2 linked regions of the Mus musculus genome follow. The protein of the gene in region 1 purifies or fractionates together with the protein of each later gene. This does not show direct contact. Links are inferred from orthologs where the notes say so. Each region holds a gene or a part of one and is shown on either strand. Other genes may lie near its edges.

Evidence for each region. The genes of interacting proteins can lie anywhere in the genome.
Region 2: the proteins of Abcc1 (region 1) and Vdac3 fractionate together in Homo sapiens (co-fractionation; 3 studies listed by BioGRID). This does not show direct contact. The link is inferred for Mus musculus from reciprocal best matches to the Homo sapiens genes ABCC1 and VDAC3.

Annotation. Positions count from the first base shown.
Region 1 is NC_000082.6:14,455,420-14,459,067, reverse strand, and holds part of Abcc1 (multidrug resistance-associated protein 1), read right to left. Parts: intron 1,181-3,648; coding exon 1,099-1,180; intron 72-1,098; coding exon 1-71.
Region 2 is NC_000074.6:22,591,344-22,595,091, forward strand, and holds the start of Vdac3 (voltage-dependent anion-selective channel protein 3), read right to left. Parts: upstream 2,471-3,748; 5' UTR 2,341-2,470; intron 1-2,340. UniProt on the Homo sapiens protein: Non-selective voltage-gated ion channel that mediates the transport of anions and cations through the mitochondrion outer membrane and plasma membrane.

The DNA of each region.
Region 1 (3,648 bases):
TCTGCAGTTCGGCTATGCTGCTGTGTTGCTGGCTGGTATCCCCACTGTGGGAAGACGAGTTGCTGAGATGCCTGTTACCAAGGAGAGTAGGGAGCCAGTCAAAGAACCTTAGGGAGTGCGAGCTCACACATAGCTGTGCTCCTGTGTTTCCAGGGACAGGGATGTGTATGTCACGAATGAGAGCTGCTGTGGTGCGTGTGAAGAGGAAACAGAAAAATCTTTCATGTAAAGAAATTATTTGGGAGCTGTAGATGTAGCTCAGTTGGTAGAATGCATGAAGCTCTAGGTTCAACTCTAGCACTGGATAAAGTAGGCATAGCGGCACCACACCTGTAATCCTAGCATCAAGAAGATAGAAGCAAGAGGATCGAGGACCGGGCATTCAAATTCATCCTTAGCTATCTATTCAGTCCAAGGCCAGCTTAGGATACATAAGACCCTGCCTCAAAAACAAAAACAAAAACAAAAACAAAAAACAAAAAAAAAAACAAAAAAAAAACAAAAAACAAAAAAAAAAAAACCCTCAAACTAAACCAAAGCAGTCTTCTGAAAGCAGCATAGATAAAGCTTAGGGTCACTGGCTCAGCACTGGGCATCTCTAGAGCTGCAGAACTGGTAAGCCTCTGTCTGTCTGATGTGGATCGGAACAGGCTAGCAGCAAGCTAGAGCCCAGGAGACTGTAGGCCTACAAATGTGCCTAGTTCCCAAAGCAGTATCACCATTAGTGTGACTGTCTGTGATCATGTGCCAGCTCACAAAACCCAACATGTCAAACCCTGTATCAGCTACCTGAAGAAAGACACAAATCATATGGGGGTGGAGGGCAAGTTTCAGAAGCAGGAACATACAATTCAAGGGCAGGCCTGAATGAGTTATAGGTCAGTGCTGGTCCTTCCTGGGAAGGCTCTCGAAGGATGATGAGGCAGGCAGAATAGACAGGAATTCCAAATTCCTGGGAGCTATGGTGGTAGAGTGAAAGGCCACCAGTCCCTTCTCGGATCCCACAGATCCAAGAAGGAGCAACTCAGGGCCGGGCAGGAGCAACTCAGGGCTGGGCACACACACACATACACACACACACACATACATAATGCTTACCTCTGCAGGTGCTTTCCTACGGTGTCTGTCACCAGCATCCCATTTTCCACCGGCTTTGACTCCTTCCCTGAACCACTGACACCTGACAGAAGACAGGCAGAGGGAAGAATGTGGCATCAAGAGCTGGGCAAGAACAAAAAAGGCCAGGAACCCAGTCACTTCTACAAGAGACAACTGCGACTCTGGCTACCAGGGAGCTTGGGAAGACAATTGTATTGTGCTGAGATCCACCTAAACCTCAGGACTCCAGGAAGGTGAAAAGTTCTACTGACTGTTTAGCTGGGGCAGGCAGCACCAGGAGCCATGGGTGAAATACAATCACCCATAAGCAAGTTCAGGTTCCTGGGGGAGATGCTGGAGCCAAGGCAGGGAGGAGAGGCGGGAAGAGCACTGGACTCTAAGCACCCAGTAACCGCTTAACACCAACTCTGCTCCCATGTGATGTCAGGCTGTCACAGGAAAAGGGAAGATTCAAAGTTAAAAACCAGCCTGGGTTACATGTTGAGACCCTGTCTCAAAAACAAACAAATGTCAACCATTGTGACAATGGCATCCACCATAGGCAAAGGCCCAGAGGCCCTTAGTGCCAGAGCTCACACCCTCCAATTACAACGGCGATGCCCAGAGTCTGAGGAAGCAGGCCTGATACAACACCCATGTCTCCAGTAAGAGGGTTTTGATGTTTGAACAACTGGTGAGACCACATGGGAATCAGCTGCTAGACCTAATCCCAGAAGGATCTACTAGGTGTCAACAAGATCAGAACTAAATGTCACTTGATGGCGATTAGGGGCACCACTGTGCCTCCTGCTCAACAGCCACTAATCTGGATTCCCACCCTACACTGTCTCCTCCATTCTTTCATATTAACAGAAGAAGACAGAGACAATTAAGGTATCCAGGACTGCAGCAGGAGAGAGAGAGAGAGAATATATGTGTGTGTGTGTGTGCGCTCGTGTGCACGCGCAAGACAAAGGCTGCTCACAAATAACAGCTGGGGACTCAAAAAGAATGACACACAGACCAACACCAAATGCAGAGCCAGGTTCCCTCATGACAGTCCTGAGAGCTAGAGGGATGAGGGTCCCAGGATAGTTGTTGGGATGGGGTAGGGCTCCAAGCTGAGTTAGTCTTAGGTAACAAAGAGTCACTCTGAGGTGGGAGTGGCTCTGTAAATGAGCAGATACAGCAGGATCCTGCCTGGATCCTTACAGAGATTCAGTTCCTGCAGTCAAGAATCCAGGACTGTGGGACTGAGCTTTCACTTAGCTGTGTGCCCTGAGGAAATGCAAAAGCCTCTAAATGGGAATGCTGCTGACCTCCTATGAAGCCGAGGCCGAGGTGACATCACGAGGTTCTGCTTGTATGAACATCTGTAAATGTGTTCCAGGTAATTCTAGACCTGGCTGGGATAAGACTCACTCCTTTAAACAAGACCATGAACATCGGTGTCTATGTTTTCTTTAGTATGCTGTCTTGTAAGCACAAATGTTTGAAGATCAGTGTCTGTATTTTAGTATGTTATCTTATGAGCTGACATGTCTGTAGTAAGAGGTTTGGCTTCTTTTAAAACCCAGTTATGTTCTACAAATACATTTTTGTTTTAACCCCAGGTGTGGAACATGGGGCTGCTTCAGTTTGTCTACAGCCATAACTATGACTGACTTGTGCTCTAGGAGGGGCATAATTTTTACCAGATGCAAATAGTTTAATTCTGGGGGCTCTGGAGAGGGAATAAATGCTAGAGCTCCAAGAGGGGTAGGAGGGGCTCATAAGAAGGCAGCAATTGCTCTTGTCATCACTGCCACACACACACACCTGCCCCACTGCAGTTATGTTTGCTATTGGTGGATTGCTAAATTGCTGGTTTGTAAAACTACTGGATATTGTGTCGAAGATTGAAGTTGCTCCTAATCAGCAGGAAGTAGCCTATAGAAGTCTAGACCCTCTTTCTCTCCTACCTAATGTTGAGGGGTTGGAAGAAATTAGGGTAAAATAAGGGTTGGAAGGTAGAGGTTTTAGAACCCAATAAAATAATTTTAAGAATACACCAAGACATTTCTATGTGTATGCACATGGACAGAGGTTACAACATCTCAGCACTCGCTGTTTCTTGGGTCCTGTCCAATTTGAATTCTGAGACAGGGACACCCCCATCCTGGGGTCAGTGAGACCCAGGACCTGCCTACCTCCACTTGTCTAGTGCTGAGTTTATAAGCACACACACACCTGATGTTTTACATGGGTCCTGGGGATCTGAATCAGGTCCTCACACTTTTAAGGCAGTGCCTCACTCACTCACTTTTATCTCCATAACCCAGCCACTGCGGCTTGGCGCACGCCTTTAATCCCAGCACTTGGGAGGCAGAGGCAGGCGGATTTCTGAGTTCGAGGCCAGCCTGGTCTACAGAGTGAGTTCCAGGACAGCCAGGGCTACACAGAGAAACCCTGTCTCGAAAAACAAAAAAAAGAAAAAAGAAAAAAAAAAGCCACAAACCCCAAAACAGCCATGTTACTAGGCTAAAAGATAATAAGCAAGACTTCCCAGAC
Region 2 (3,748 bases), on another chromosome or scaffold:
AGGCACTCCCACCTGGGGGCCACATGCAGCCAAGGATACCTATGAATGTGACTCTATCTACAAAAAAGTAAACAGGAGATTTGAGGCTAGTGAGGTGGAATTAAGGCACTAACTGCCAAGACTCAGGACCTGAGTTCTGTCCCTCAGACACACTGGGTGGAAGGAGAGAACCAACTCCCACAAGTTGTCCTCTGACACAGCCAGTGGCATGCAGGCATCTAAACACATCAAACTAACTCTCTAATTTGGGGCTAAGATAGCTCAACGAGGTACAAATCACCAAACCTAACAACCTGATTCTGATGCCAGAACACATGGTTGGTTGAACCAACTCCCCTAAGTCATCCTCTGACCGGCACACAGGGGCAGAAGAAGCAAAAGCGTGCACAAGCGCAAGTGTGCAACACACATGAAATATATACATGAATAAAGACAAACAAAACACAGGGTGGATATGGGGAAACGTGACTTCAACCCCAGCACTCAGAGGCAGAGGCAGACACAATTTGTACATCTGAAGCAAGCTAGAGGTGCTACATAATGAGACTCTGAATAAAAATAAAAATTAAAAAAAAAAGCCTGACTGCGTGACCTTAATAGATGACAAAGTTGTTGACCATGAACTTTGTAGATGAAGTTGTGTCAGATCAACAGGTTGAACACATCTTCCAGTTACGATCACTATGCCTGAACTATGGACACTTTGCAAATCATTTAAATAACTACCCTGTATATTTATACTCAGTCAGTCCAACTCTTAATCCAATTCCTGCTAGGCTTTTGCCTATAAATAAACAGGGCCTTGGTTTATAGCCCAGGCTCACCTCAAACTTACTGTGTAGCAAGGTTGACCTCTCTCAACATATGATAGTCCTTAGCTTCCGGGGAGCTAGGATTATAGCTGTGTGCCACCATATTCAGCAAGACTTATGTCCTAACTGGAAAGTCATTGAAAATTTGTACCTGTCACATGCACACACTATGATATAAAGTTAAGAGGAAAGAGCATACAAAAAAAACATATATAAAGTCGGGGCAAAGGAGATGGCTCAATTGGCAAAGTGTCTGTCACACAAGCATGAGGAACTGCATATGAGGACCCACACAGCACTGGGGTAGGGAAAGTGCGGAGACAGGAAGACTTCTCAGTTCAGTGAGGAGACCTATACCCAACATCAACCACTGGACTCCACATGCATACGGATGTGCACACAAACGTGTACATACACCACATAAACAAGTTCACACACACACCCAAAATTTATAGAGAAATGGGGATGGCGTATGGGTAAAGCACTTATCTTACATAGAAGAGGATCTATAATTGATGCCACGGGTTTTATCCAAGGCATCAATCAAAAGGAAAAGTTAAGGAGTCAAGGCAAATGAGTGGTATTGATGTTCTACATCAATCTATAATAAAATTCTGCTCTATGTTACAGAGTTTGGAGTCCACTAGCAGGGTAATTTTACAGTCCCGGTAGTAATGTAAATCTTTTGCCATCATTCTAGGAGGGAGGAAACACAGGTCTTACGTATTCAGACAGAAACGTTTATACAGTTTTAGGTTTTCATACTGATCAGGGAGAAAATAAACCAAGGTGGTCGAAATGTCTAAGTGCTATTTACAAGCTGCGTTTAGCGTTTTTGATCCACTGTTTCTCAAAAATCATCACTTTGCAAAAGTCAAGTGGATAACTGAAGTCGTTCATGCCCAAACTGTCCCTTACTCGGACCCATGATTCTAATGGGAAATGCACTGCTGGTATGATCAAGCAAAAAAATCGAGAAAACCCGGACTCCATGTTACTCGAGAGTCAAGCTACAACCTCACAATCATCTTAGCGCTACAAGACAGCTATGCACCATGCCCTGAGGCTGCATTAGAGCCTGAGAGGACGACAAAAGGCACTAACTAGAGGAGACAGCTTCTCTTTTGTTCCTTGTTTCTGCTTTTTAAGATGCATGAAGAGCATCCACCCTTCGGCCGTCGGGAGTGCAAGACACGCCTGACAAGTGCTGGACACACCAGACAGCGGGGTGAGGACAGGGTCGGGTGTAGGTTTGGGGTTCCGGGACTCGTCCTCTCTAGAAACCGCCCGCCTTCCAGCCTGGCCCCGGGCAGACCGCCAGTGCGCACGCCGGGTGCGGCGGAAGGTCGCGGCCGGCCCAGGGCGGCGACTCCCGCCCTCAGGCGACCAACAGGGTCCGGGCAGCGGAGTCTCCCCTGCCTCGCCTCGCCCTAGGTCGGCGCCCCTCAGCTCCTCCTCCGTGGCCTCGGCCGGCTCCTCAGGCCCGCCGGCCATCCGCCCACCCGGCCCGCGGCAGCGGTCGCCTCACCTACAACCCGAGGGTGGGCCCGTCCCGCTCCACCAAGGCAACGCTGAAGGTCTTCTCGAACCAACGCCGTCTGCGCCTGCGCGACCTCGCTCCCCCGCCGCGCCTGTGCGCCTGCGCGCCCGTCGTCCCCCAGCGCGAGTGCGCGCGGCGCGGCGCCGCGCCTCAGACCAGACGTGCAAGGGGCCCCGCGGCGGGCGCCTAGGCCAACTGTCCGGCTGCGCGTGCGCGGGCGAGTGCGCGGGCGCAGTGGGGGCCCTGCTGGCGGGTGACCGGCGCGGGGTGGTGTGGAAATGGCCGAAAGGCCTTTGAGGACCTTTGCTGGGCCGGGAGGCGCGGCTCTCGCGAGAATGTGCCAAAGCCGTAGCTACTGTCCCCTGAAGGGGCGCGGGCGGGCAGGGCGCCAGCAGAGACCCAGGGCGGGCTCTGCGGACGCGAGCTGCCAGCCAGAGTGTCGCTCCCAGACCCTGCCACCCTCTCTATGGTGGATGACTTGCAGGTCTTTATGGGAACTTCGTCCCAGGTCAACTGTAATTTTAAAATGTGAGTCTTCTCAGTTGGAACGATGAGAGAAAACCCAGGCCCTAGAGGTTAGGCGACTGCGGGCTTCTAGAGCATGCAAGTTAATTCAAGAGAGAGAGAGGATGGAGAGAGAGCTCTTCTTAGAAGAGAAATCAATGTCGCAGGAATTGTGCAAGGAACACACCACTGCTTTAGAGCCACCTTAGTGACAACCGATTCCCCAGCAAACGGTTAAGGAGATCCCGATGGTTCCCAGGACTCACTCACTCCGCGGATTATTTACTGAAGAGGAAAGGACCTTCACAGCCAGAAAATCGCCTTCACCAAGTGACTAAAGCTAACTTCAGGTGCCCTGTCATTCACAGAAAGGGACACAAGTCGATATTCTTATATTCTTGGTTGTGAACCTAGCCTTTAACGGCTGAGCCATCTCTCCAGCCCACGAGTCAGTATTCTTAACAAAGCATGTAATTTGTCTATGGGCGAGAAAGCAAATCCAAATTAAGGGACGTTCTGCGAAGCAACTGCTCAATCTTCAATGTCATGAAAGATGAAGAAAAGGGTTTAAGAACAAAAAGATGTAATGCTAAAGTGTTTTTGTGAGTCTCAGTTGGACTGTGGATAAAACAAAAGGGCTATTGAACACAACCAAGCAACTGAGGAGATTTGAGTAAACTACACTAGTACACTAGTACTAGAGCAACGTAGAATCTGAGGGTACTGTGCCTTGGTTATGTACAAATGGCCTTTTTGGAAATATTTGTTGATGTTTCTACCGCTAACTCTTTTTATTGAAAATAATTTTTCATACACTATATCCCGGTCATGTTTCCCCACCCCCAGCTCCTCCCAGATTCCCCCAACCACCTGACTCCATGCCTTCTTTATT